2 linked regions of the Rattus norvegicus genome follow. The protein of the gene in region 2 purifies or fractionates together with the protein of the main gene of each other region. This does not show direct contact. Links are inferred from orthologs where the notes say so. Each region holds a gene or a part of one and is shown on either strand. Other genes may lie near its edges.

The links.
Region 1: the proteins of Tgoln2 (region 2) and Galnt2 purify together in Homo sapiens (affinity purification with mass spectrometry; 3 studies listed by BioGRID and IntAct, counting the BioPlex papers as one, with this or other methods). This does not show direct contact. The link is inferred for Rattus norvegicus from reciprocal best matches to the Homo sapiens genes TGOLN2 and GALNT2.

The regions. Positions count from the first base shown.
Region 1 is NC_086037.1:69,214,659-69,229,878, reverse strand, and holds the end of Galnt2 (polypeptide N-acetylgalactosaminyltransferase 2 precursor), read right to left. Parts: intron 14,880-15,220; coding exon 14,753-14,879; intron 12,394-14,752; coding exon 12,274-12,393; intron 10,144-12,273; coding exon 9,988-10,143; 3' UTR 7,642-9,987; downstream 1-7,641. UniProt on the Homo sapiens protein: Catalyzes the initial reaction in O-linked oligosaccharide biosynthesis, the transfer of an N-acetyl-D-galactosamine residue to a serine or threonine residue on the protein receptor.
Region 2 is NC_086022.1:106,221,702-106,237,004, forward strand, and holds the start of Tgoln2 (trans-Golgi network integral membrane protein TGN38 precursor), read right to left. Parts: upstream 7,562-15,303; 5' UTR 7,549-7,561; coding exon 7,503-7,548; intron 7,246-7,502; coding exon 6,308-7,245; intron 5,256-6,307; coding exon 5,172-5,255; coding exon of another isoform or gene 5,028-5,171; exon of another isoform or gene 3,463-5,027; coding exon of another isoform or gene 3,440-3,462; coding exon 3,434-3,439; coding exon of another isoform or gene 3,370-3,433; 3' UTR 1-3,369. UniProt on the Homo sapiens protein: May be involved in regulating membrane traffic to and from trans-Golgi network.

The sequences.
Region 1 (15,220 bases), on a different chromosome or scaffold from region 2:
TGGTTTACACAGAGAGTGGTTCTTCCCACAAATCAAGGGTTTTTAGGACTGGTGGCATCAGATGTCTTGAATGCAAACAGATCTATGGGAATCCTGGGCCTGAGTCCCTGAGGTCAAGGACAAGACAGTGGCATGGCCCTAAGAAAGACTGAAAGAAAAAGGTGGGAGGCGGGAAGTGTCTGAGTCATGGGCAGGTATGGAAGGTCCAGTACATAAGCCAGCCTCTGTCCAGGACAGACCGGCCTGCATTAGCTGCCGTCTGCTGGGTCGAGGCAGGCCCATCCAGGTGGATGAGGGACTGCAGGTAGGGAAAGGCAACCCTGGCCCAAGACTTCTGTACCCCCACCCCTTTATTTTATGGCAAATGGGACAAACTGGTTCTAAGATTCCTCCAAAGTCACCAACCAACTGATTCTCAAACACTGGGCAGATTTATTCTCAGACAAAATTCTGATCTCCTTTGTCAGAAGCTGTGACCCCAGCATCCCCTGGGAGGTCTTCCTTACAGGAGACAATGGGAGAAGCCTGACCGCCTATGTTCACCTAAGTTTGTTTGGCAGAGTCTGAAGTAAGAATGGAGGGCATTGGGGCTGGGGATTTAGCTCAGTGGTAGAGCGCTTACCTAGGAAGCGCAAGGCCCTGGGTTCGGTCCCCAGCTCCGAAAAAAAGAACCAAAAAAAAAAAAAAAAAAAAAAGAATGGAGGGCATTGAGTTGTTGAAGCTGTCGTCTTCATAGGCAGGCAAATGGATGGCGAGCACAGGTTTCTAGATAGTTGGTCACCATCTTAGGGTTACTTTTGCTGTGATGAAATACCATGACCAAAAGCAACACGGGAGGACAGGGTTTATGTTTCCTTGTTCTCCATTCCAAGTTCACTATCAAGAAGGAAACTAGGGCAGGAACTCAGGCAGGGCAGGAACCTGCAGGCAAGACTGATACAGAGGCCATGGGGTAGGAGTGGGGTGCTGCCCACTGATTTGCTCATTATGGCTTGCTCAGCCTGCTTTCTTATAGGACCCAGGACGTGAGCAAGTCAGTGGGCACAGTGGGTAGTTGGTCACCATCTTAGGGTTACTTTTGCTGTGGTGAAACACCTAGATGGAAAAAGTGGTGGTGGTGGTGGTGGAGGAGGAGGAGGAGGAGGAGGAGGAGGAGGAGGAGGAGGAGGAGGAGGAGGAGGAGGAGGAGGAGTCCTAGAGGATCCAGAGACCATGGGTGAGGGGGAATAGATTCTTGACTGGCAGCATCCCGAAGTGGCCCAGCCATCTCATGGAGACAAGCGATGGCCCCACCAGTCCTTTTATAAAAGCCACCAGGATTCAGTCAAGGGCACCACCCTGATGACTTTTCCTAATCTAAATCCCCCTTCCAAAGCCCTGACTGATTGACAGACAGACTAAAGTCCTGTCTTCCCAGTGGGCACTGACACATAATTAGACATAGTGGAACATACCTGCCATCCCAGAGTGTGTATGTGTGCATGTATGCATGCATGTATGTGTGCATGTGTGTGTATGTGTGCATGCCTGTGTGTATGTGTGTGTATGTGTGCATGCCTGTGTGCATGTATGTGTGCATGCCTGTGTGTATGTGTGCATGCCTGTGTGTATGTGTGTGCATGTATGTGTGCATGCCTCTGTGTGTGTGTGTGTGTGTGTGTGTGTGTGTGTGTGTGTGTGTACATGTGTGCATGGTAAAGGGAACTTTACTTTGTTGTGAGGACAGCCTGGATTATCCAGGTTAGAAGTGAGACTCTTTCTCCAAAACAGAAGCCCAGCATGTAGAGCCCGGGGGTTTACAAACCACATTCAAGGCAAAGCTGGAGCTCATGGGAACACTTGGCTGTGGCTGGCCTGAGAGCACTGATGGCCACAGCCAGTGGACAGCAACCCATCACTAACAAAACCACCGAGCGCCGCCTAGTCCAGACCTGGAGGTATAAGGACCCATCAGCAGAGAGCAGAAAACCAGATCTCTCCCTTGGCCAGAGCGCTAATAGTAAAAGCTGAGGCTCAGAACACGTGGTTTGTCACTCATTGCCACTGGATTGAGGTACTGTGTGAGGTCAGGAGGGAGATGCTACTTCACAAGCTGAGTGCCTTCGTTCCTGGAGCAAACCTTTTGTGATGCTGGCAAGTCTGGGGCCAACACCTCTGAGATGACCCGCTGGGATCTCCTGAGCCCAAAGTGTTTGAGAGACAGTTCTGCAGGGCAAGAGAGTGAAGAGACTGTGCCTGTTCGCTCTCTGAAAGGTGAGTGGGTGTTACATGCTCACCCCTCCCCCAGCCAAGAAGCCTACAGTAACCTTGGTGTCTGTACCAGATGCTAATAGGGCTGTGTGGCCACCGCAGTCAGGTCTGATTCTGAGCAGGCCCAAGGAAGCTGGTATGAGGTGGAGGAGGGAGGGTTCCTCCATGATCCCATGCAGCCAAGCAGAATGTCTGAGGAGCTTGCAAAGGAGACATGGAGGGCAAATCAAGGCTGCAACCTCTAAGGGCATTAGCGTATAGGGTATCTAAGAATCCAAGACTGCCGTCCTGGCCTGGGTGGACTGAACTGGGGCCGGGAGGGGGATGGGTTTAGGTGCTGCTGTCTAACCTCAAAAGTGTCAGAGAAACCAGACAGCCACCAGTCTGACAGCCTGATCTTACCTGGATCCAAAGATCTCCCAAACCTGCTTTTCTGCCTTTCTTTCCTGGGACATGTCCCCACCTCTGGTTGAAGCTGTTCCCAGTCTGCCCAGCAGGGGGAAGCAGAACCTCAAATTATCACAGAACAGACAAAACAGTGTTGTGTACTGGGGAGTTTGGGCAGCTGGAATTATGGAAGTCACAGCCCCACGTGAGACCAGTGACAACACAGCCACTAGGACTAAGAGGGTGACAGGGCATGGATGAGAAAGGGCTGCAGCATTCCACAGTCCTTCCCCTGGCCACCGTGTCTAGGTTTGTGAGGCACCGAGACACTTGAGGGGTCCATGATGCTGCACCGTATTCTCCAGTATCGGATAAGCTCACAGTGTGCATGAAGGACAATTGGGGCCTGGAGGGGGGAGAGGTAGTAGACTGCCCCTCCCCCCAGGTCTGATAGGAGCCCACCGTGGAGAAGAGTAGCAGGGGTAACCTTGTCATTGGACAAGCTGAGCCACGGTCACAGGGACACTGAATGAGGCCAAGGGCCTCACCCGGACCTGGGCTGTACGCAGCCTGAGTCTCAGTCCTCCAGTTCACAGTTGAGATTGGCAATGACGCAGGCTAATGGCTTAGCAATGAGCAGAAGTGGGTTGGGACTGGAGTCCAGGACTATTCACCCAGAGCCCACCCTTTCCCCAGAACCCATCACATCCCAAGCCGGACAATTTGGCTCTCTTGAGAAAAATCTATCTAGTCTTATAGTTCTTCCTGCCGTGAGGGAAAGGCTCAGCATCCATGGCTGGCTTACAGGGATTCAGCCAAGCAGGTAAGGCGCTCAGACTCCCGACTCCTGGGCAGCCCCACCTCTACTCCCACCAGGGCACTGGAGGTCACAGAGAGGCAGATGAGAATAGCTACAACCTCGGCTTCACAGGCTGAACCACACTGACAATCTCAGCTGCTTCCAACTCCCACTGAGAACTCAGGGTGAAATCTTACAAACGGTCTGAATGGGTGTGTGCTCACACCGCCTCTGGAACTTCTGACCTTAGCAAAACTACAGCTTTTAGGGAACAGAGTTATCTAGCTGGGGGTGTGAGGATGTTTACAGAAGGCACCCATCTGCAAAACTGCCATCCTAAGAAGTGTCAGGGTGTGCCCTTAGATGCTAAAGACTGATGGATTCCAAACCCATAGGGAGGAGAATAGGAGTCAAGGTGCTGCCCACATCGCTCCTCAGGGAACTCCAGAGCCACAAGATTCTGGAAAGTTCTTTGGCACTTTCCTGCTCCCTGCAGCCCTACCTCATCCTGACCTATACCTTACAGGGGTCTGGCATCTCGGCAGACTTGTCATGGGTCTGGTTCTTTTTTTTTTTTTTTTGGTTCTTTTTTTTTTTTCGGAGCTGGGGACCGAACCCAGGGCCTTGCACTTCCTAGGTAAGCACTCTACCACTGAGCTAAATCCCCAGCCCATGGGTCTGGTTCTTATGAGCTGGCTTTCTGGGGCTCCCTGCCACCTAGGGCTACAAGGAAGCCTGGCCTGTCTTTACCTCCTGGGCTGACTGCTAGGTTGTGTGGTCCTCTGATTGTGCAGCGAACTTGATTGTGCACTTAGCAACATTTCTGCCTGTCCTTACACCTCTGATGTCTTTGCTCATTGGGCAAAAGCTACAAGGTTGTCCAATTTGCTTAAGAGCATATTCAGGGGGCTGGGGATTTAGCTCAGTAGTAGAGCGCTTACCTAGGAAGCGCAAGGCCCTGGGTTCGGTCCCCAGCTCCGAAAAGAAGAACCAAAAAAAAAAAAAAAAAAAAAAAAAAAAAAGAGCATATTCAGTAGCGATTCAATGTCTCCAGTGGAAGTTCATAGGGTCACAGTCCTGTCTTCACTCCCTGGAGGACTATTAGGTGTAACATAGGGTCACAGTGCCCTCCTCACCCACCTTTCCCAGGATGCCCTTCTTGCAAGTGAGCACAGGGTTCCCATTGTGGACTGGCCCAAGGGATAGTATAGTGTGCAAGGGGTGGGTCTAGTGTGCAAGGGGCGGGTCTAGTGTGCAAGGGGCGGGTCTAGTGTGCAAGCCCAAACTGACTGAGGCTTCTTTAGGTCCTCACTTTCTCCTCAGAATCCCAAGCCTTCTCTAATACTCTCCAGCCCTTGAGAGCTGCCATGTGTTAGCTGCTACAAAGGGACTGCTTACCCTGGTCTCTCCTGGAGGACCGCCATCTTCCCACCACCTCTTGTCACACAGAGCACTGCACTGAGCCTCCCCTGCCCCAGGATAGGCTCAGTGTCAGAGCTGGTGCCTCACTTGGCCTAGGCAAATCAACCAGGCTCATTGCTAGAGCTTGCCCAGTGCCAAAATGGGAAAAACTTTGTGAGCTGTGAAAATTAGAGGTAAAATATACCCCAGGGCTGGCCAATCCTAGCTCATGTCACCGAGGGAACTCCGTGACCTTTTCTGTTCTCCCACTCAAGCTTTCCTTTGTTCCCGTGTGGCACCCTGGTGACACGTGATAACTCAGTATGAAGAGCAGCCTCTCTCCCCCCTTTATCCTCAAACTGAACCTGGATGGGATGCAGGGAGGCAGTGGGTACCTGCCTTGTCCATGGCTGGAGTTAGGCCCAGTGTAGGTCTACCCCGCTATCTCAAAACCACATACATATGCAACATGGCCAAGGGTAGCTCTCATATGGCCTCTTTCTTTTCCTTATTCTGGGGTGTGTTCTCTCTCTCACCCACCTCACTTTCTATACAGTTCCGAGGTGGAGAGAAGACGACTGGCTGTACCCCAGGCCCCTCAGCCTGTGCCCTAGGCTTTATCTGCGCGTGTTAGGAGACTGGCAGAGGAGCCTTTAGCTCTCTCCTTGGCTACAGCACGTGCAGGCGATGCTGACTCACTGGTGTCAGGGATTCCTAGACAGACTGACCGCCAGTTACATACAGGCAGCTTCTCTGGTCATGGAGATGGAGAAGACCCAGGCTACTTGCAGGCTAGAGCCCTGGGATGCCGCTCAGCCTGTGTTCACAGCCCTGGAAACCAGGGGATGCTGGGAAAATTCTGGAGCCAAGGGCCAGAGGGCCTAGGACTCTTGTGTCAGTGCACGCGATGGGGTAGAGGTCCAGCTCCTGAGAGGTCACCTTTCTGTTCTACCAGAGCCACTGGATGACTAAATGGTGCCATCTTATGGGGGATGGTTATTCCCCCTGATCTGTCACCAGATCTCAGGCTAGTTTCTGTGTGATCCATCTAGTGTTCTCGTACTCAGGCAAGAGAATATTTAAAATTAAGCCCCTCTCTGAAAGGCAGAGACAGGAAGTCACATTCTCCAACAGGGAGTGCTGAGACGCAAGTGTGCTGCCAGCCACATGGGGGCGCTCACGAGGGAGCTCTGAGGCTCAGACTAGGAGCGCTCGCCCACCCACACCAGCATAGCTTCTGAGAACCACGGAGTGTTCTATCCATGACTGGAGCTTGCAGACAGCAGGTATTGTCTCTGTTCTTCTTTTTAAATATCGGTTACTTTCTATTCCATCCATTATTACAGATTTCCATTCACTCCGCGTTCACTGGGGCTTTGGAATCTCCGAAGCAATGAGATAACATGTTACCTAGTGTGCTGAGAATAAGCAGGTCACTGTGTCTTTGGCATGACTGGCTTCTTTGTGGTCCGCTACAATGTGTTTTTTGAGACTCTCCTGAGACCTCTGAGCTGCCAGCAGGTACCAGAGAGGCCAAAGGCAGGGGGAGGGAGGGGCTTAGTAGGCCAGCAGTCACCCTCTCGCAACCATTATTGCTGTTCCATCCATTCTACAGCGGTGCAAACCCTTCCAACACGGTAGTCGGGGAGGCTGTGTGGCTCAGCAAACAGTTCCTTTTCTAGCCCCTGACAATTACACACGAGGTTAGTTACCCATCTGCTTCCCAAACTCCTGAGGCCCACATCCCGCCTCGAGGCAAGGGGCCCCACCTAGGAGCAGCACGGCTCATGATCAGAGAGAGGTGTCTGTCCTATGCGGGGTGGAACCTGGGAGCAGGCAGGCAGTTCAGCACTGAGCTGAAATCCGGTCTCCTGGGTTTCTTGTTCTGAGCTAGTGGGCATGTGTATTTGAACTACTTGTAGGTGTCCTGGTTCCAGGAGAACTCTCCCACTCAAGGGTAACAAGGGGCCTTCTGGGGCAAGCCAATGATCTTCGAGGCCCATGCCTTTCTGGGCCTCACTGAAATACCAGAAGAGAAACCACCCATGGCTACCCCTTCTCAAAGCTCAACTCAGCAGCTGGCTCTAATTCCCAGAGGGGCCACCTGAATACCTATCCCAGGAGGGCCGCAACCCTCCTCCCAGCTCCCAGGCTAGACCTAGGGATAGAATGCCTTTTAGAAATGTAGTTTAGAGTCTCTTCAGATACTCCAAGGCCTCAGGACATCGCTGAGTTACAAGTTACTGCCATTGTCTCTCAGACAGCCACAGAGCCACATTTTTGGTGTCTCACATAATGAAACCAATGCAGTGTGGTTTGAGAAGGTTCGGGCATCTCCTGGCCAGTCCCTTCACTGTCTTATCATGGTCCAAACAGCAAGACAACCAGCCGGTCTTTATCTCCCTGGATATATAGCCAGTCTCATGAAGGTGTGGTCAAAGACGAGTACAAGGCCAGGATGAGTGGCAGAGCCCCGGACGGCTGCTGAGTAGGACCATGCATTTTAAATACTTACGTGTAAGAGATTTGGTACCTAGAGCGTGTGGGCCACGTGTTCAGGGCCCAGGTCCAGGGCAAGTTAAGCCAGTGCATGGCAGGGGCTGGCCAGGTATCTGGCACAGCCCAACCGCCCCACACTGCAAATGGTTGTCACTAATGCATCAGACCCGGGGGGCATAGCATCAGGGATGTGTTTTAAGGGAGCGATGAGAAACGTCAGGGCGGACAGAAGTGAGACCTCGACTCCAGCCCTCTGCCTGGTCCCACACCTCGTAGAGCGACGGAGAGAGAGACACAGTTGGGCATTATCTATAAAGTATCTTCTCTTTATTTAAGTTAAACAATTTCAAGGATGGTTTCCATCTATAAAATGGACAAAGCACAAGCTCTGTACAGCAGTTCTTTTTTTTTTTTTTTTAAAAATCAACTGGAAAAAAAAATTACCAAACTATATTTTGAATTTGCAAAACATACTCACAGACACCGTCATTTTCAGCTTCACGGAGACTCGAGGACCACCAGAGAGGACAGCCACCATTTTGCCTGTGCGTGCCCAGGGCTCCTGGGAGTTTTTAAGTTTTTTAAAAACAGGAGTGGGAGTGTGGGAGAGCCCAGATTGACTACAAAACGATACAAGCTCAGCGAGTCGCTTTGGCACACTGTCATGTAAACATGGCTCACCCGAGGGCCTTGCCCAGACCCCCTCTGCTCGGAGCTGGGTTGAGTTGGCACCCTGGTGGCCAGACAATCAGATGGTACAAAGGTGACGAGGCCACAGGGTGGGGCGGGGTACACGTGTGGTTGGGACAGCCCATGTTGTCTCACATCTGTGGTGTCACTGACAGAAGCAGTGCAGAGGTGTCAGGGTTAGCAGCGGACATCGTGCTTGGACTGGACTCCAGCACTCTCCTGCCTCGCCCCGGGCAGCTCTGCCCCCATCCCTGTGAGTGACAGTCCTCAGAGTCTACCCAGGAAGGTGGACATGTATGGACTTAATTAGACACGTGGGCACCCTGTCTGTTACAACGTATCTCTTGTTGTTGCTTGGCAGGGGTGAAAAGACAGAGGGTCAGCACCTGGCCAGGTCTTCCCAGAGGGTCCGTGGTCATGGTGTGCACACACATGGAGCTCCACAAATAGAAGAAACCAGCCTCGCCCACCCCCCTTTGGGTCAGGTGGGAGACAGAGCACTCACCTGCAGGCCCTCTGACCACCTGAAGCTCTGGTCCCCGAGATCTCTGGGACACCTGAGGTGAGCATGGGTGATGCTTTGTGGCCCCACAGGGTGTCACTTCCCCTGCACCCTCTGTGGCTGACACATGCCTAGGTCCTTCGTGTGAGTGAGCAGACCTTGTGGTCCGAACTCTACCCACAATTCCTGCCATAGCCTGTGGACATACCGGGGGGGGGGTGTTGCCCACACCAGGGCTACAGACACATGGGGTCCACCCACACAGGCTGAAGGGCTGCTCTTCTGTGCTCTGCCGGATGCTTGGTTAGTACCAAAGACCCAACATACAGGGTCTCAAACCACTGAGCCTAGGGATAGCATGTGACAGCTGTCCCGAGGGCCCCTGGTCTGTCACGGGGCAGTAGGGTCCTGCTGGCTCACATTAGTTAGAAGCTGTGGGGTTGAGTTTCCCTAAAGAAAAGAAATCTAACGTCAAAAGAAAACCCAAAGCAATACTTGCCAAAAGAGGTGACCTATCTAGGTTTATGGTTGACAATGGGCACAAAGTGGACTTTCTAACCCAGCTGCGAACCCCTTAAACGTTGGTGCTTGTGGGCAGGGCTGACGGTTTGGGGACACCCCCGACTGGAAGAGCAGCGTGGGCAGGCTGGTGAGGCTCCAGAGGCAGAGACGTGGCACCCGCACCTTCACTCTGGAAGCCCAGGCCCCTCCGTGTGGCCGGGCTGCGCTGTGGGGTTCACATGATGATGTAGGGAAAGCGTAGGGAACGGACCGTGATTCTCTGTATACGCATCTCTATTTAGTGTCCCGCCATAGAAAGTTCACGTTCAAATACAGCAAAGTATGTCAACAGAAGAGGGGACGTGGCCCCAGGGGGGGCCAGCTGAGCCCAGGGGCAGGGACAGGGAAAGACAAGCAAATCTGCAGGGAAAGGTCAGCTTTGTGGAAATCATTTTTTTTTTTTCCTCCTTAGACAGGGTCTTGCCTGCCTCAGCCTCCTGAGTGATGGAGTCACAGGCACTGGCCACCATGCCTGGTTCACACACATGATTTTGAACAGGTTAAAAACAAAACAAAACGAAGTGGAGATTGGCGAGTTCTCGCCGTGAGGGCGCTTGCCCCTGCTCCCTCTGTCCTCGATATAAACGTGATTGCTGCTTATCCACTTGCTCCGGCCAGCACCGGGGCTGTCCTCTGAGGGGTGTGAGCAGGAAGCAGAAAGCAGGAGGCAGAGGGTGCCAGCCTTGGGAGGGACCCTCTGTCCTGAGCCCCCGGGGCTCACTGCCTTCCATACAGCTGTCAGCCCAGCTCACACCTCGCTGAGGACTCGAGACTTAAGACTTTCAGACCATGGTGGGACACTGAGGTATATAGTTTTGCGGAAAGTTTCAGAAACATAATTATGTGATCACCAAACCGGGCCAGTGTGTGCGGGTGGACGGTGGGCCCCAGGGGCCTCTTATTGCTGCAGGTTGAGTGAGAATTTCCACTGCTGTGACAGGGCCGGGCCGCACACCTCCACACTCAGGCCTCCGCTCTTGGCAGTGCGGCTGTCCAGGCACAGGTTGCTCCCCACGTGTCGCAGTTTGGAGTTGCCTTCGATCTGCTCCCACTTCTGTAACACAGAGCACAGCAGCGGGAGGAGTTTAAGGGCAGCCCAGGGTCTGCAGGCTTCTCTTGGGCACACACCTGCCATTTCCGCCTTCTTTCTCTCTCTGCTCCTGAGTCCCCACTGCCCCCCGTGCCGCAGGCCCCACCTGCCACTCTTGGAGAGCATGCTACACCACGATGCTCCTACCAATGCTAGCACGCTCGACCGACCAACCCACCAAGTCCACCGACCAACCCACCAAGTCCACCAACCCACTGCCATGCACAAAGGCCTAACAGCATCAGGACGTCTGAGGCGCCCTGACCCTGTTGTAACATAAACACCTTGAACATTTACACTTTCAGTTTTTAAAGTCACACAGGCTTTCCTTTTTATCCCCACAGCTTCTCTTTCATTACCAAGGTCTGTGGCGCTAATTAATACTTTATACGTGCAGTAAGGTTCCTTGGAGTATTTCTGAAAATCCCTCTGACGTGGTGGTCTTAAGAGCTCCTCACTCTTGCCTCCTCTCCCCCTCTGACCGTGCAAATACTCGCACGGCTCTCTCAGCCCTTGGGCTCATCAGATGCCAACTGTGGAAGTCAGGGGCGGTCACCCTGAGAGGGGCTCTGCCACCTGCACTGCCTCCCTCCCTCCCTGTCCCCCTGCTGTCAGTTTGCTGGTTTCCCTTCATTGTCATGGAAAGCATGCCTAGAGCCTGACAGAGCCTGTGGAGAGAACACAGAGTCTGGCTCCTGGGGGGAGGGGCTGTCATGTGTTGAAGCATCCACTAGACAGTGGGTGCTGAGAGAACAATGAAGTCACAGCTGTCCCTCGAAGGTGCTCCTCAGCGCTGGCATCGGCCTGATGGGACGCCGCAGTGTGGCGGGTTTACTGGCGCAGCGCTCCCACATCCCCACAGGTGGAGGCTCAGGGCTGTACTCATCACCCAGGACCAAGCAGCCTTCCCTGTCTTAGAATCAGTTAAGGGCCCCACAGAGAACACTGGGGCAGTGTCTCTATCACCTTTTCCTTCTTAAAAGGCTAACAGACCAGATAAAGTCTCACTTTACCACTGACTTACGGCCCAAAGGCCTGGCTGTGTTCTAGGTAGGTCCAGGGGACAGTGGCCTTCCCTGGATCAACATTTCCAATCTTTTTCTATAGGATCTGACTCAAACTATACAACTACACAGACAGAGATGACTGTATAGAGGGCGAACACAGGGTGGGCTGGGAGTGGGGACATAGCACTCAGGTACTCTGACACCTAGGATCCAAACAGGAACTGGATGCTGGCTGTGGCCCTGTACCACCAGCTGGTGGTGGTGGGTGGGGAACCTAGGCCTTTGCTTCCCTTTGTGCAATCAGGTGGATGGAAGGACGCTGAGCTGTAGCTCTGGTGGCCCTCGTGCCTCAGTTTCCCTCTACATTTGTCTTCTGGGGAGGGACTGTGGGAAGACTAGCTACATTCCCCCATGGTGGGTTAGAAGGGACTGTTAATGTCTGCATTGTGATTGTCACCGCAGGGCTCAGAAAGGTGGTTTGCCCAAGATTCCCCAAGGAATAAGCCAGACAGAACCAGCTTCCAAGGCTTGCGATAAGCTCTGGTCCATGGAAGAAGCAGAGAGGATCCTAACTCTCACCAAGGTGAAGACGATCTCACTGTGAGCTCAGAGTAAGACACGTGCACACCCTGCTATGGAGCCAGGCACCGCAGGCTGCTCCCCTTTATGGCCAGGGACTGACAGGGAGCTGAGGAGATTACTGTGGCCCTGAACCTCAGGAAAACGTCACCCTACATAACTGCTAGCCATGGAGAAAATGTAGTCAAAGCTCAAAGTCCACTTTCAGTAGGACGTGGCTACCCTGCAGTAAGTCTCTGTCCACCCAGGCTCATCTCCTTAACCATTTAGATCGGAACTTTTCTAAAGTTCTGCAGGGGAAACAGGCGTTTATCACCAGGATTTTGTCCAAGGAATCACATAATTTCAAATAAAACCCTCTGTGGCGCGAGGGAGGAAATGAGACAGGGACCATGGGACATGGTCATCCAAAGGATGAACGGCAGCCACTGGACTGCAGGTGTGAGATGGATAAGCACCCGGTCCTTGTCACTGTCAGCGCCGGGAAAGCCTGGGACCCGGGACCCACCTGTCTGCTGTCGTTCTCCCGGCAGCCCTGCAACCTGATGAGTGATCCTGGTGAACGGTCCACCACAGTAAGGCACAGGTCCATGTGCTTCACCGACTTCTCCTTAGTCAAGGCCCATTCCTGGGAGAGACCACAAGTCAGAAGCACACCTCAAGTCAGGCTACGGCCATGTGGGGAACTTTACCCAGGACGCCAGGGGTAGGTAACTTGGAGCCAGCTGGATACTCCCAGCTAAGGGACAAAGCTACACGTGGCTGCTGAGCTGGCCTTGGTAGCTGTGATGTTTTGGTGGGAAATGCGTTTGCACATGTGGCCCCAGCTGGCAGGTCTGTTCTGAGAGGCTGTGGAAATGCACACTCCTGCTGCCTCTCTGGCTGGCCAGTCTAGTTATGATGGGCTGGCTGATCTCTCAATCCAGGAGCCAAAATAAACGCACCCTCAAGTATTTCTGTCAAGTATTTGGTTAGAGAGGCAAGAAAAGTTGTTAATACAGTGACCTAAATGAGCTGTATCAAGAGTGACTGGCACACTGCGACAGCTAACTGTGTTAAGCATTTTAGCTCAAAGTGCAAGTTAGAGATCCGGTCAGCATCACTCTAACCCACAAGTCCTCCCACACACTCTGCTTTGGAAACAGATTTATGAGCGTAGGTGGAATCTGAGAAAACTCCATACATGATACATTGTAGCTTTCAGCGAATGTCTACATGGCTGAAGTCTGTGGGAACCTGCTGCTGGTACTCGCAAAGCCCTGACTGCAGGAAGCGTCTACACATCCATGCACGGTATGGCTCCTAATTGGGTGCTCGCCATGTGCTCAACTGTCTCAAGCCTTTGCACAGGAACTGCATGAGGGGTGTATGTGTGTGTGTGTGTGTGTGTGTGTGTGTGTGTGTGTGTGTGTTCGTGGTGGGGGGCAGAGAAGTGGGGAGAGAGAGGATTGGAGGGTAGACGTATAGAGACTGGGGCAAACGAGATGGGGCAGACAGGTTGGAGGCAGCATTGTCCGGTCAGTCTTTCCTTGCCCTCTCTATCCCTGCCCTGGAACGGGACTGCTCCTCTCTACCGCTGCACATTTACAGGAAGCTACTCACAGAAGAGCCTACACTGTGAGTCACAGGGCTGGGCCCTTCTGAAGACGGCCTCGCTTTCTGTCAACTGTCTCCTTGTAGATTGTGGACATAAGGTGGCCGCTTCCTCCTCGTACTCCCATGCCGTGCTGTCCCCGTGGGACGTCAGAAGGGTCCTTCTCTCTTAAGCGGTTCTGTCACCACAGTGAAGGGTGGGTAGCTTATATATAGTCTGTCTGCTCTATCCAGTGTGCTTCCTTCCAGATGTGCCGGGGTGTGGAGATGCAACTCAGTGTCCCTGGTACACTGCAGCTCTAGGACGTGGAAGTCCAGGACCCTCCCTGACCCAATGTGTGGGCAACAGCTGGAGACACGCTTGAGTTAGAGGAGTCATGGGGACCCCTGGGCACTGAGGTGCTAGCCTGTCTTCATGTGACAAGTGTGGGAAGATGCTGGCCGGGAAGGGGACGTGTGGAGACTGTGTACCTCATTATTTTAAGATGAGTAATACACTGAACTCCAAATCTGATTTGGCTGTGCATGCGGCAGAGCCAGCCACCTTGTGCTGGTCCTTCAGCAACCTGAATTTGTCAAACATCTAAGAAATGCTTTTAGGAGCCGCCGTCCCTAAGAAGGTGTGGCCATCAGTCATTCTTCCATTTCCTCTGTGCTGCTGAGGCTAGGCTGGGAACCAGATAACAGCGTCCCATCCACACTGCCCGTACCGTGCCACCTAAAGTCCCCATCCTTGTGTCTCCTGACCCACAAAGCTTCACTCTGTTAATTCAGAGGGGACTCGGTCCCGGGAGGGACACCGGCTGGTGTCACCTTTGCCTCTGGGTCCCCTCCAAGCACTGGAGTGCCAGTCACACATGGCAGCCCCAATTTAAATTCAGCAGAGTTAAGTAAAACCAACTTAATCCAAGTAGGCACACCTTAAGAGCTCATGTGCACAGGTGCCTGCCAGCCATAGTCCTACAACATTTCTAGCACTGAGGAAGGGGGTCCTGGACCCCAGCTGCCTGTGGGGCGAGGTATCCCAGGCTGAGTGGAAAATTGTGTCAACCACCAAGCAGGCCCTGATCCTTGACCTGAGAAGACTGAAGCTGAGCACAAGCTAAGCAAGGACCTGTTAGGGACAAATGTGGGTACAGACGCAGGTCCAGTACATGGCAGTGGGTTCAGCAGGGACGACAGACAGAGCTGGTGGGAAGTCGTAGCCTAAACAACAGGTGCTAATGCCACCTCGGTATTTCCCTCACCGGCACAGCACAGCCCACAGCGGATGAGCCGCTCGAGGCGGCATTCGATACCTGTAACATCCAGCTGGCTCCGAGGCTGCTGGTGGGGCCGGGGTGTTCGCCTACCTGAGGACTCTGGGTCTGCAGGCCAGCATGCTCCCCACCTACCTGGTTTCCCCCAGCGTTGTGACACTCATAAATCCCAACAACTCCATCCGCAAAGTGTCCCAAGGTGTCCAGGCAGTTGGTTCCCTGCTGTAAGGCTCCAAAAGCTATGTCCTGGTGGTCTGGAACCCTGAAAGGCATTCGTTGTAAGAGCCAAGGCCACCTCCCCAGCCCTGTGCTTCCTGTTCACCATGGCCTCTGCACATGGCCTAGACAACAGAGACAAGACGGCAGCTTTGCATCACCCAGACATGATGGTGGCCCCAACTTCTGGATTCCTAACTCTTTAAGAGGGTTAAGTGGGCCAGGCAACGCCTACAATCCCGGCATTTAGAAGGCTGAGGGGGGATTTCTGTGAGAGTTTGAGGCCGGCTTGGGCTACAGAGTGAACCCGTCTCACCATCTCCAAGCAACACATGGCAAACAGGAGATGTTTCCTAATGTTCTGATAAGGGAGAGTGACTACCAAGT
Region 2 (15,303 bases):
TCTAACTGGGTAAACAAGACAAAGAAAATAATTTCAACATTTACTCATTTCCTTAACATGGTAGTCTAAATTAAATTCCTAAGAGTGGGAGGAGGCCAGCTTCATGGGTAGTTTGCTCTGCTGTGCAAACTGAGGTCCACACTACAGTTTCAAGATAAACTACTTAGTCACATCTGAGCAGGGAACTAAAGGAACTGAGCCATCATGATGGAGTTAATTTCAACATCTCCTTACAGCTTTCCTTTGTCTTTGTTTTTGAGACAAGCTATCACTATGTAACTCTGGCTACCTGAATTCTAGACTAAGCTGGCCTCATACTCACAGAGATCCTTCTGCCTCTGCCTCCTGAGTGCTGACTCTTTACAGCTTTCTTAAGGCAATACCAAACTGTCTCACAGGGCACAGGGCCTGGCACACCCTTCTCTGCCTTCGAATGGCTCAGGATATGTGCAAAGCACACCACTCCCCGAAGAAAAAGAAAGAGCATCAGTATGGGGAATTCTGAAGGGCACAGAGCTGTTTCTAGGGGAAAATACGTTAGCACGTTTCTTAGCTGTTGTCCAGACCTGGTGTCTATAATCCATAGAGAGCAAACGGTTAACAGTTGTGCCTCAGGCAGGCTCCTCTTAGGAAATTGCCTTTAGCCAGACACTGAGCAGGAGAGCAAGCTCAGAAAAGTCTACAGGAGTCCTAGTTAAGGCTTCATGTACTTCTCACATGCCAGCCCCGTCCTTGGTATAGACACCTCAGCTGGACCATAATCATCCACACACACTCTAGGAGATATGCTTCAAGTAAGTATTCTACCTTCAAAAAACTAACACAAAACAAAAAAATCCTAAAAATAACTTTTCTTTGGTGGGAGCCATCTCCTTCAATGCAACTTTCCAAGTGAAAACAAATTCAACTGTACTCTGTCACACAAGAAACATCGGTCAGCAGCCCAAGAGGGCGAGGCTCTGTAGCCTCTGGCAATCCTTCATGTGTCTGTCCACTCACTTTGTTACTAAAAATCAACCTTCCTTCCTGCTCTTCAAAAGCAAAAAAATCAACAAGTATAAGGTCATAGCAAGCAGTAGCCAGGAAGAGCTATGCGAGCCCCAGTTCAGCTACACCTCCAACAAGAAATTTGACCCCTAAGGTCCCTGGCTGATAAACGATGCCAATGGCTGTGTCTCAGAGCTTGGTTTTCTTGGGGGAGATCATAGAACATCAGAACTATGTCACACTGAAGTTCCAAGATGAGAGTGACAGTAAGAGACAGTGACAGTGAGGAATGGAAGCCAAGCAAGTGTGTTGACTCTAAGAAGGAACACTGCACATCCGGAACCAAAGGACCTGCTAAGGTGAAGGAAAGGGAATGCTCACCGCAGAGCAACCTGGAGAAGCTGGAATACAAAGGAGACGAGGAGGGCAGAGGCAGAGATGGAGTGCCAGACCATGAAGACATGAGGGACCCTGTAGTCTAGAATATAGCATCAGACAGGAGCTTCAGACCAGGGAGTGTTCTGGAATAATCAAGGTTTCCAAAACTGGTAAGGTCAATTCACCTGGTTCCTGAAAATTAATGGAGAATATACCTAGATATATAATTTCTTAAAAAAAGAAAAAACAAATAGGACTTCTGTGATGACCACTGTAATTAGTTTATAGTGTAGAGTTTTCAGATAATTAAAAAACCCGAAGGATAGAGGAACTTAATAGGTACAAGAGGGAAACTCTGGTTGAATGACAACCAGACAATGTGGCTGAGTTATTTAGCATATAGCAGAACTGGGTTCTTGGGAAGGAGACCAAAGAAAATGTGAGAGTCACAGAAAGGATAAAGAATGGATGCGACAGTCAAAGCAAGAGAGACCTGGGCACCCTCCCCCAACGCCATAAGATAAGGCAAAGGACAGTTTGCAAGAGACACCTAGAATGTCAACATGCACAGACCCCAGCATCTATCATTACCAAGTGTTATAAGCTGTGAAAATGGGCTGTTTTATTTGGTGATCTGTTAACTGAGTAACCTTGAGAAACAGGAGGAAAACAGACCAAGGCAAACCTGCAAATGTCAGGGAGAGAGGGAAGGGAATAGAAGCAACACCAACTGGAACGGGGTAGGGATGGCATGCACGTAGGCTAGAAGGAAAGGTTTTCATCAGAGGTGTACAAACAGGGCTAAAGAGGAAGAGAGAATGGAAGAGGTGGGGAACTGAAGAAGAGTTACGGAAAGCTGAGGGAGACTGAAAACGGCTTCTCAGCTAGGAAAAAGTAACAGCAGACTTATGCACAGTCGGGAAGACAATGACCTCATTTCTAGAATGCCACCTGCCAAGCATACAAACTTCAGGCACATGCTACAGTCAGCATGGAGAAAGAGCTCCAAGACCAGGTCTTCTTCAACTTCTCCAACTGCACAGGACTCAGATTTTTCTTCCTTTTATATCCCTGAGATTAGTTAAGAGTTTTCTCTCTTTAGGTGTAACCATATAGACTGGAATAAAACTTTAGACACAGCATAATCCAAGACATTTTTGGTTATCTCAGGGAACCTACTTGGTTTCTTACAATTTCATGAGTAGCTATGACAGGATAGGAAAGATATTACTCATTCCCTGGCATCTTAAACAGTGTGGAGGAATGTGGAGAACGCACGGAGTTTCTAAATGTCTATCTTACCTACTGCAGACCATGAAAGCAAAACTGACTGTGAGAAACTCTTTCCTGTATACCAAAGCCCTATGTGTTTTCTTCCACAAGGCATAAACCTGCTTCTTTCCAGGAAGTTCCTATTGGGGTGACTGTATGCAAGAACACACTGGTTCAGTTCAATAATCATCACCATATTTAAAAAAAAAAAATCCCATGGCACAGTGATTTTACTTTCAGAAGCAGTGAGTCCCTTTTGTGCTAGCACAACTCGAGTGCAAATTTCAGAGAGATATACAGACTGTCAGACGGACTGGACCTTGACACTCTTTAACTTGCTAGTCTGGTCTGCAGCTGAGGCCTCTGTGGAGAAGATTTCAACCCTGTCTCTGCCCATCAGCATCCCACAGAATCATCTTCTACATCTTGTCTAGAAAGCACCTCTGTAGTTTGCTCCTAGAGTTGCAAAGATAAAGGGGTTATGGGAGGGTGGTCCATAGTGTGGCCTGCCTAAGGAAGGTGGGGTCTTCCTTTGGTCACAGCCATGTTTCCACACACTCCCTCTGCTTGTACTCCAAGAATGGAAGGAAGATGGACACATCACATAAAGGGAACACAAAAGTAAATAAAACACCACCAGAGGACAATGTCATCAAAGTGCAGGTGCAAAACCTGAAGCAATCCCATCTCTGCCAGCCCAGACTTGCCACCAAACCCCACAGGTCAGTCTTTTCATTTCTCTTGATTCGGAAACAAATCAGCAGGGAGGACAAGGTTCTTGCAGACAAAATCAAAATCAAAGCTGAAATGAGAACAACACATTTGCTGGTTAATACTCAGCTTTTTCAGGGAAATATGTTAGTCAGACAAACTCATCCATCATTATGAAACAGCTAATAATAAATAATAAAAGTTAAAGTGCATAAGTCACTTTAGTAAGTTTTAAAGTAAATTAGAAATAAAATATGGGGGCTGGAGAGATGGCACAGTGGTTAAGAGCACTGACTGCTCTTCCAGAGGTCCTGAGTTCAAATCCCAGCAACCACATGGTGACTCATAAGCATCTGTAATGAGATCTGATGCCCTCTTCTGCTGTGTCTGAAGATAGCTACAGTATATACATATATAATAAATAAATCTTTAAAAAAAAAGAAAATATATACCTGAGAGTCATACATTTAGCTAATATGGTGGCTTATACCTATAATTTCAGTACTCAGGCTGAGGCAGAAAGATGATGACTTTTAGGCCAGCAAAGATTATATCACGAGTCTTAAGCTACAGTGAGAGATTGTCTCAAAATTAAGTAATTGTTGATAGGCGTGTAAGAGGTATTTTCTTCAGCAGGGTAGCCACTGCTATGAGGCCCATGCTCCTATGAACAACCTAGGTGACTTTAAAAAAAAAAAGTAAGCTGGAGAGACGGTAAGCACTTAAGAACACATGCTGCTCTTGAAAAGGAGTAGCGTTTGTCTCCCAGCACCTACACAGTGGTTCACAACTGTCCTTAGCGTCAGTTCTGGGGATCCAACTATCTCTTTCGGCTTCTACTGGCACCAGGCACACATATGGTACACTACATTTGATGGTGGGCAGATTGAACTACTGGCTTCTACTTTATACTCTCCTATATTATTCTGAAATTTTTTCACGTGTATTGCTTTCTTCCCATTAAAACAAAACTAAGGAGGGAAAAGAAATCAAAATCATTTATCAAGGAAAGTTGTAGCGCTAGAGCTGACTGTGAGGTTGGCCTAGCGTGACACACGTCCTGAGCTGGGTGGGCTATTCTGTACTGCTGTGAACTGTTTCCTGTAGGTCATCTGGGAACCATTCCCATCTCAGTCATCAACTGTCTTTTGTCACTGTTGCTGAACAGAACAGAGCAGGGGGCCTGAGGCACCTATGATGACTACAGTCACCTGTGGGGAGCACCTTCTTCAGACCCTCTCCCTTACTGTCGGATGGGAAAGCCTGCTGTCCCGAAGGCTGCTGAGGCACACTAGCCACATCAGGAGGACCAGCCTGCAGCGGGCTTGCTTGCAGCCTATGTGCTCGTCTGCTGTGGGGGAGTTGTGATCCAGGGCTTTGTTGCCCAAAGTGTGGTCTGGCAGCCAGTGGGGATCCCCACAAAATGAGGATGGATAGGTTCTCTCCCATACTCAGTAAATCAGATTTGGCTTTGATCACATTGTTCAGTGTTTATCACAGTATTTGTCTGTCAAGAGCTGAAATAGTGAAGAAAGTGTTTAAAAGTATACAGAGTTACTATCAGGTGCTAGTATTTCCTCTGAGTGGAAACTCAGAAAGAAAACAAACAAACAAAATCACACTTCCAGGTAGATCTGTTTATCTGTCAAATGTGAAAGGACTGAAAGCCCTCTCTATCTCTACCTTTGTAGATAGATACACATGCAGTGTGCGGACGGTCCTACTTGCAGTCTCCAAGGGCTAGGAGCAATGGCTGCGGCAACCCCAGAACTGGCCCACTGGAGGCTGCATATCCCTCCTACATTGGGTTTCTCCTTCCTTACCTTTAGGTTCAAACGTTGGTAGTCACTGGCCTTTGGCCTCCGAGTGACTTTGGATCTTTTTCCTTCCAGGGCAAAAGCAATAATCTGAGGGAAGGACAAAGAAAACAGATTAACATTTGACTCTGTAATGAGGGACTTCACTTCCTGAAATCAGAAGCAGTTACCTAGATCCACAAAGAGGACTATTTAAATTACACACACACACCCAAGATTTTAAAGGGGGCTTGGTTACAACAAAATCCTTTATACTGCTTAATAGGGCCCAAGAGATGGAGGCTGAAGCCTGTGGAAATCTGTATGATTTAATTATGGGAGTTAGAGGTCTGCCAGTTCTCTTGCCAGAGAGTTCTAGGTCAGGTGTTTAAGGGGGAAAAATAATGACGGTTTCCTAGCTACAAACACATGCTTTGCTCCCACACAGTTTCAACTTTTCTCTAATTTACTGCTTTCATCATGAACGTTTAAATGTACAACGAAGAATGTAGACTCTTCATTCTTTAGAGCCATATGCCCAATGGCTATCACCAACTGAATTCTTCAATAAGTCAAGCTACTGAAACTGTCTTCTAAATCTCATGGCTCATTAAGAAATACAATAATTTTGTCATTAGAGTTGTTTGTAAGGTTGTTTCATGGGTGGCACTTTAACCCCAAAGTTGGGTGCATTTATGCAATCTCTAGGCTTGCTTCTGACTCTTGGTAGCAGAAGAGTCATTCTTGGGCTTTATACTACTGGTGTTAGAGACTATGTAACTGAAAATATTCTTCCTGCCTCCAGATGGAAGACAGTTGGAATAAAAGCTAGAAATGGTAAACTATCTCAAGCATGGAAAAGGGGAAGAAATCTACCTGTCAAGAACTTGGGTTCACAGAGGCTGTGAATAATCTGAGTTCCAAGTTACAGGAGGGGAATCACAATTAGGTCAGGTCAAGATTCACGTCCAACTTGGCACTTTACAGCAGAACTCTGAGGAAACGGGTCACATGATTTACAAAACAAAACCCAGAGTCCTAGCAAGGTCTAAGGAAAAACCGAAGATGATCTTAAAATCCTCTGAGCTCACAGGCAGATGAGTGACAGATAGCTGCCCATGTACAAAGAACTCAGGGTTCTGGACATTCCAGTCCCCTCTTACCTTTCGTTTGTTGTGGTAAGCAATATAGAGGACAGCAACAAGAACAGCAGCGGTCACCAGATAAGCAAAGAAGTGGCTGCTTTCTGCACTGGTGTTTCCAGAATTGTCCTTATAATGGTCATCCTTCTCATCCTTCATAGAATCTGTAAGTGTCCCCTCTTGGTTCTCACTGGAGGAAGGGCCCAACACCTTTTCATTCTCTTCTTCAAGTGGTGAACCTTCTTCGGGCTCTGTATCACCCTCTTCAATCTCCTTGGTTTCCACATCTTCAGTAGGCTCTGAAGACTTATCTCCTTTCTCTGGCTTTAAAGAGAAGTCAGAGTCCCCTGCCAGTTTTTCCCCAGATTCAGTTTTGGAAATAAGTGTTGGTTTCTGTCCTTTTTCAGTTAGCTGGACTTTGTCAATTTTTGGAGTCTCTGTATTGGAGGGGACTTTGGAGGTGGGCTTGTTAGAATCACCTCCTGTGGGCTTGTCATTATCACTTCCTGTGGGCTTGTTAGAATCACCTCCTGATGTCTTGTCAGAATCAACTCCTGTGGTCTTGTTAGAATCACCTCCTGTGGTATTGTCGGAATCACCTCCTGTGGGGCTGCCTGAATCTTTTGTAAACTTCTGACCTGACTTTTCCTGTTTGGGGTCCACAGGCAAAAGCTGCTGCAAAGTTTCCTTCAATTTGGCATCTGCTGTTTCGGGGTGCTTTTTGGAATCATCCAAATTGAGATTGGTCGCAGATTCCACCCCACTGGAAACTGATGCCGAAGTCCTAGCCACCGTCTTGTCCTGGCCTTCTTTATCCGACTCCAGCCTCTGATCAGTCGGTCTGTTAGTCTTTACCTGTTGAGAAATATCAACCCCAGGAGGCAGGGGCGTGGAAGGTTGAATCGGAGGATTATTTTCACTTGATGTGTTGTTTGGCTTAGAAGCGGATGGCAGAGCTCCTGAAACAGAAAAAGCAGTAAGTCCACGTTAAAAAAAAAAAAAAAAAAAAAAAAAAAAAAAAAAAAAAAAGGCCGGGAGAAAAGAAGGGCTTGACTTCTAAGACCCTAGCGGTGATGGCCGAATGGAAGAGCAGTGGAGATTGCTAGAGGAGGGTCGGGTCAGGCGAGAAAGACGACAGCTCCCGTGGCGACCCACCAAGGTGAAGAATGGGGAACCTAAGGGAGAGAATGACAAGGGCTTGGGGGGGTATCCTTACTCGCCACCGCGACACTCAGCAGGAGCAACGCAACCAGGAACTGCATCCTGTAGTCTGCGCTTCCGCCCTCTACTGACGTGAGAGGGGCGCAAGGTATTTCCAGAGCGTGCCCCCCCCCTTTCCGGCGGACTGTTTCTCTTCCGGCGCAACCCCGCCTTGGGGGTGGGGTTACTGGGTGTCGCCAGTCAGTGACTGTATATTCCGATAGTGTGCCGGAAATCAAGTCCAGCTCCCCCCCCCGCCCCGCCCCGGCCTGCCCCCCAGCTCCCCTCTCTATTTCAGCAGTCTGGGGAGCTCGGCAGTCTCTTTCTTGTTCCCTTGGCCTCGTACTTCAGAAACTGTCCGACAGGCAGGTGCTGCGTCGCCTCTCGCTGCTTATGATGTGGGGTCGGGGCCGGGAGCCTCTTTGTCGCATCCTCTGTTCATGTTTCTAACCTCACCGTTGCTGGTAGTGCTTTTCTCACTTAACACAAAAATGTACTCTGTTCAGCTCTTTCCCATCTAGAAACAAATACATTTCATCCTGATCCCAATCCCTTTTCTTGGCGGTACCCAGGGCCCTCTGTATTTACCAACGTTTTTTTTTTTTTTTTCTCTCCCCTGAATTTCTATGTGTTTGAAACTATATTGTTATGTGGGCAGCCCCTGCCTCCTGAGTGTTTGGGATTATAGGCGCCTCGCCACGCCCCTATTGAGCTATTTATTTATTTAAGAAATCAGATATCAAAGATTGATTTTTATTTGTGTACGTGTGCCCGCCACCTGTGTGCAGGTGCTTTTGGAGCTAGATGAGGACATCGGATCCCGTAGAGCTTCAGGCGTTTCGAACAATCTATGTGGTGTTGGAAACTGAACTCTGCTCCTGTGGGAGAGCAGCAAGTCCTGAGCCATCTCTCCAGTTCAGGACATGAGGTGCTTTGTTGCCCAAACAAGAAGACCTTGAATTTCTGATCTTCCTACTGGATTACTGGCTTGTATCTCCAATTTATGTAGTACTTGAGATCAAAATTGTGACTCTGTGCACACTAGACAAGCACTCTGCCTCGCTCAACACAACAATGTGTGTGTGTGTGTGTGTGTGTGTGTGTGTGTGTGTGTGTTCTTTTTGGGACAGGGTTCTTATGTTTAACACCTCTGCTGTCCTAGAACTCACCCTGTATTCCATGCTATCCTTGCACTCCCGGAGATCCACCTGTCTCTGCCCACTGAGTGCTGGGATTAAAGACATGCACCACCACACCTGGCTCAAGCAACACATTTAAAAGCAGAATTTTAAAATAACTATACCTTTTTTTTTTTTTTTAAAAGAGAGCCAGGTGATGGTGGGACACACCATTAATCCCAGCACTCAGGAGGCAGAGGCAGGCAGATGTCTGAATTTGAGGTCAGCCTGATCTACAGAGTGAGTTCCAGGACAGCCAGGGTTACACAGAGACACCCTGTATTGAACAACAACCATAAAAGACATCTTTAGGGTCTAGAGAGATGGTTCAGTGGTTAAGAACACTGACTACTCCTCCAAGAGGACCCAAGTTCCAGTCCCTAAACTCACAAGATACCTAATGACAGTCTATGATTCCAGTTTCAGGAGATCTGACATCCTCTTTTGACCCCACAGTCATTGTACACATGTGGTGTACAGACATGCATGTAAGTAAAACATACATATACTTTTAAAAAGTCGGGCTGGGGATTTAGCTCAGTGGTAGAGCGCTTACCTAGGAAGCGCAAGGCCCTGGGTTCGGTCCCCAGCTCCGAAAAAAAGAACCAAAAAAAAAAAAAAAAAAAAAAAAAGTCTTGCTGTCTGCTCTTCTGCGGATTGCTATTTGCATTCGTTCCTTGTGTCTTCATCTGTGGCAGTGCTGGATAGTTTAAACAATTTGCTTAAAGTCATTCGTGAACATTTTCATAAACAGTTGTTTAATAAACAGTTCCAACAACTACATTCTTTTTTTTTTTTTTTTTTTTTTTTGTCATTTTTGAGATAGGCTCTCATTCTGCAGCAATAACAGGCCCGGAACTCACTCCAAGGGACAGCAGACTTTGACTTGGCGTCAGTCTTCCTGCCTCTGCCTTGGAAATGCTGAGATTACAGTTGTGTACCACTGTGCCAGGTTCCATGGTCCTCAATACTCTGGAGGTTTAAGGTAGAGGATCTTTTGAATAAGAAGTGTTGTTACTTTATGTGTGTGGATGTTTTACCTCCGTTTATGCATCTATATTATGTGCCTGTCTGGGGCCAAAGGAAGCCAGAGAGGCCACGAGAGCTGGAGTTAGAGATGGTTCTGAGCCAGCTTCTGGAAACTGCACCTGGGTGAGAAGAGCAGGCAGGGCTCTTGACCTATGAGCAATCTCTCTGCCTTCAGAGGCAAAGGATCTTTTGAGCAACCAGAATTTGGAGGTCAGTCTGAAGAACAAAGTCAGACTTAGTCTCAAACATACCTGAATAAAGAAGACTTTAATCTGATAAAGCTGCAATCTGGTGAGGTGGAGAAATATCAGATAGACATTTGTCCATGTTTGCTTTTTGATTTGTCATAGTTAACTTTGATCCTCCCTTTGATGAGATGTAAAGTCATAATGGAGAGAAGTCCCTGGATGTGCCTCTAAGGCATTATCTGGGTTCGGTTAATTCAGGTGGGAAGGCCCACTCTGTAGGGGGACAGTAGTGTTTCATGGGCTCGGGTCCTGGACAGAATAAACTGGGAAGCAAGCTGAGCAAATATAGGACATTCGGGCTGGGGATTTAGCTCAGTGGTAGAGCGCTTACCTAGGAAGCGCAAGGCCCTGGGTTCGGTCCCCAGCTCCGAAAAAAAAGAACCAAAAAAAAAAAAAAAATATAGGACATTCATGCCTCTCTGCTTCCTGATGATGGAGTCAGTGTGAGCAGCTCCCTCCTGCTCTTGCTGCCATGATTTCCTTACCACGATGTACTATGTATTCCCTGGAACTGTAAGCCAACGCCAACCTTTATTTATTTATTTTTGTCAGGTGGCTTTCAATGACATTAAGGCAAACAACTAATAGAATTGTATCCCAAGAATTGCCAAGAAAAATATGAAAAGTGTGTATCAGTTGAGTGATGAGCCGAGGAACCGAGGATTGTAGAGATCCCTGGGAGAAAAGTGGGAGGAGAGAAGGGTTAGGGTTTCTGGCTGAGCGAGTGGCCAGCACATGCAGCTGGGTGTGAGCCTAAAGAGCAGGCTTCTTGGGGGAGAGGGAGAATGGCAGGAGAAGGTGGAACAAAGCCACACCAAGAACTAAGTGACGCGGGAGTGACCCAGAACAGAAAGTCTCATGTGATAGAAAATGTATGTCAGCTGCTTGGAGTGAGCCAGAGAGGACTACAGCCACAGGGAGGGTGACGCTCTGCGAGACCCCTGAGTGTAATACGCAGTCCTGTGACCGAAAGCTTTCAAGTTTCAAGAAATAGTACATGGCACACATAGTTTCAGAAAGAAGTGCTTTTCCTGTCACTTGAATAAAAATCTCCATACTGTGGTCTTCACGGCCTCTCCCCACCCCTTCTTCCTCTCCTCTTACATTGCTGAGGAGAGAGTAAAAATCACAAGAGATGTGAGAAGTCTATCAGATTATTTCAGGAACTGGACTATAGCTGGGGGTGGGGGGTAGAGTGCTGCTTGCCTGATATCTGAGAGGTACTTAGTTCAGTCTCCAGAGCTTAAAATAAAATAAAATAAAAAGCCTCCTTTAGAATGTTGACTTTGCCTTGGCTAGAGGAAGTGAACTGGTAAATGAATCTGCTTTTAAAAGAAAATTCTGTCTGCTTGTTTTAAGACAAATGTTTGACTAACATTTAAGGATATTGGCATAGTGTGGGTGTGGGTGGGCGGAGAGGGCAGTGGCAAATAATTAAACCTGACCTGGTGTCCACATTACCAGGCAGGGGAGGAGAGAAGTTCTGATCACCCAGAACCCCGGGTGTTTGTATTTTATCTATAAACAATAAAAGAAACCATTGAAGAGGTTTAATCAGATTGGAGGGTGTTTGGGCATTACTCTGGTTGTTTCAGAAAGAACTGACTTGAGTAGTAGGGAAAGGACCCGGGTGTTAATCATTTAGGAGATTGTTGCAATATCTCAAGAAGTGGACAGGTCCAGGGAGAATGACGGAAAGTGCTCAGAGTGGAGAGGGGACTAACGTGCTTCCAAGATAGATTGGACAGGAAAGATGGGGAGGGAGGCAGGGGGTGCTTTCTCACTGAGGTGGAGGGCCAGGGGGATGGACTGGCAGATAGGACATGAGTTTGCTTCTGGCCACTTGTTAATTACTTTGGTTTATCTTTACTTAGGGCGATTGTGATAGCCAAGAGGAGGGATGCCCGGATGGAAATGTGAGTGTGCAGCACAAATGTAGGAGCACTGGTTAAAATATGACTGGCGATCATTTCAGTAAAGAAGTAACGTGCATGTCTGTCGTAATTGTGACAGTTTTCTGAATCCTGGGCATCCAGATTCTTCTCACCTTCTCACTGCTAGCGACTTTATTATCAGGCAGCGGTTATATCACATGCTTCTGAGATGACACAGATACTCAAAAGAGATTGAGCAATCTGCTCGGGGCCATGTTATTTTTATCAAACTCCTGATAACAGGGAGCTTTTCTTTCCTTTTTTCTCCCGTTCTCTTCCTTCCCTGACGTTCCTCTCATCTCACCATGCTGCTCACACTTCTCTCAAACTCTGGACCCAACGGGTACTCCAGCCTCCGCTCCCTGAGTAGCAGGGACTATGGTGAATGCTAGCACCAAGTACTATTTTCTTTTCCACATTTGTATTAGCATACAAAGAATTAGGTAGCATTATGGCATTCTTCAAGCACAAATTGTCTTAGTAGTTTCTTTTTTCCCTCCATTTCCCTCTGCTCTGAGAATTCTTTTTTTTTTTTTTTTTTTTTTTTTTTTTTGGTTCTTTTTTTTGGAGCTGGGAACCGAACCCAGGGCCTTGCGCTTCCTAGGCAAGCACTCTATCACTGAGCTAAATCCCCAACCCCTGCTCTGAGAATTCTTAATCTGTCAAATTGATAGGGAAAAAAAAAAGAGTTCTTTTGTTCCTGCTTGTGTACAAACAAATGCTTACGTGTGTGTGTGTGTGTGTGTGTGTGTGTGTGTGTGTGTGTGTGTGTATGCATGCCAGAGGACAACCATGTATGTCATTTCTCAGACACCAGCATCCACCTATCAATCCTCTCCAGCAGTGGGAATTCAAATATTCCCTGCTTTTTAACATGGGTTCTGAGGGGTGAAACCCAGTCTTCCTGCTTGTAAAGCACGCACCCCCCTGAGCCGTCTCCATCTTGCGTTATCCACTAACTGTTATATGTGTGGGTGTTTTGCCTGCATGTATGTCTGTGTACTGTGTGCATGTCTGTTGCTCTGGAGGCGTCAGATCCCCTGGGACTGGAGTAACAGACTGTTGTGAGCTTCCACATGGATGCTGACAACTGCATCCATGTTGGGTTTCTAGCAAAGCAATAAGTGCTTACCTGCTCAACCATCTCTTCAGGCCCTGTCTGTCTGCTGTTTGTCTGTTTGTTGACACTGATTCTCAATAGACTGCTCATTCTGGCCTCATGATCGTCCTTCCTAAGCCTCCTGAATTCTGGGATTACATGAGTCAGCATACCTGAACCCTTACTGTTATTCTTTTTTTTAAAATTTTTTAAAATATTTTATTTATTTATTATATGAGTACACTGTAGCTGTCTCCAGACACACCAGAAGAGGGCATCAGATCTCATTACAGATGGCTGTGAGCCACCATGTGGTTGCTGGGATTTGAACTCAGGACCTCGGGAAGAGCAGTCAGTGCTCTTAACCACTGAGCCATCTCTCCAGCCCCCTTACTGTTATTCTTTAGTATTAATTCCTGCACCAGTAGTTTACACGAATGTGGGCTATTACTTAAGTGCTTTAAGTGTTAAATTATGAGTTAGAACTAAAAGTGGAAACCCAGTAAGTATTCTCAGCTGCTAAGTTATCTCCCCAGCCTCAACTTTCCAACTACTACAGTCCTTCAGTTAGCAGGACAATAAGGGCATGGAGATGAACAGAACAGAACTGAGAGTTTAAAAACACACTCGGTCATTTGTTATTAACTCGGTTTGATGAGGGTTCAGGAGAGCTCACTGGGGGAAGGATAGTCTTTGAACAACAGCAGGGTAGCTACCCCACAAGTACACAAAAAGATAGTATATATCATTAGTATTAGGGGAAATATAAATCAAAATCAGTGAAATACTATTTAAGAAAAATTAGGAAATAAATCTTGATAAGATTATGAAGGGTGAGCCTGGTGACCTGACAAGCAGGAATAATGATATGAGATCTTTTAATATTTCAGAAATTTCAGTTTCCTTTGCTGTGAAGACTCTCAGCTAGCTCGTCTGAGTTAAGCTGGCCACCTATCCAGTCTGCTTTCAGGCCCAGGCACATTGCATACCTCTCTTCCTAAGTCTTCTAGTGAAAAGACCCCCTTTTTTTCCCCTTCCCTGACTCCCTTTTCTCTCTTCACCCCCTAGGTCCATTCAGCAGGGCTGTCAGCCCTTTATAACAACCAATCAGCAGTGAGCTGCATCTGATACAACTCTTAAACAGTCGAGGGGTAGAGGACAGTGTAACCCTGCTTTTATTCCTTTTTTTTTTTTTTTTTTTTCCTGGAGCTGAGGACTGAACTCAGGGCCTTGTGCTTGCTAGGCAAGCATTCTACCACTGAGCTAAATCCCCAACCCCCTGCTTTTATTCTTATTTTTTTAGAATTTACAAAGCAGGAGGCTGGTAATGGGTTATAGTGATTACAACACCAGAATCTGTTGGCGTTTAGCTCACTGCCCTCAGCAATAAACAATGGAATATATGGAGACACACCTTAATGCAATGTGAATGAAGGTCAGCCCTACACCAGTGCCCTCAAGTAGGAATGTAACATGGCACAGCTGCTAGGAGAAAGTTCATGGCTTCCTTAAGCAATCAGAATAGCTACTTATGTGACATAGCAATCTAGTTATGTATCCCCAAAGAATTAAAAAAAAAAACCCTCCAACATTTACTTGTATACGAATGTACATAGTAACATCATTCATGAAAGCCAGATGTCCCAGGCCCCTGTAGTATGGTTGCCACAGATGTTTGATATTAAATGAAGGAACAAGCATAGGTGGTTTATACTTACAGAGTAGACAGGGAAGGGGGGTATCTTAGTGGTAGAATGTTTGCTTACTGCGTACAAGACACAGGGTTCCATTCCCAGCACTATCATAATATATGCACGAGTAATGCATGGTTGTAGTTGTTGCCTCAGCAACTTTTTATTTCTAAATTTGGTCTCACTGGGTAACCCTGGCTAACCTATAACTTGCTGATCTAGAACTCCGAGTTCTTCTTGCCTCTGCCTCCACAATGCTGAGATTAAAGGCTTGCACCATCATGCCTTGCTGATATTTTGTTTTTTGAAACAGTATCTCATGTACCCCAGGCTGCCTCTAACTCCACAGGTAGCTGAGGATGACTTTGAACTTCTGATCCTCCTGCCTGTACCTCCCAGGGCCTAGATCATAGACATGGGCACCGTGTCCAGTTTCTGCAGTGCTCGGGATTGAGCCTAGCACTTTGGGTATGCAAGACAAGCACTGCACTGAGCTGTATGCCAACTACTCGGCTGCTCCTCTGAGTCCCCGCTTAGTCACTCTTGACATTTTCCATTCTCCACCTGTCCTGGTTCCTCACACCTTGTCCTGTAACTGCCATTGTGACCATCTCCTGTTAACCACTTCCTTATGAGGC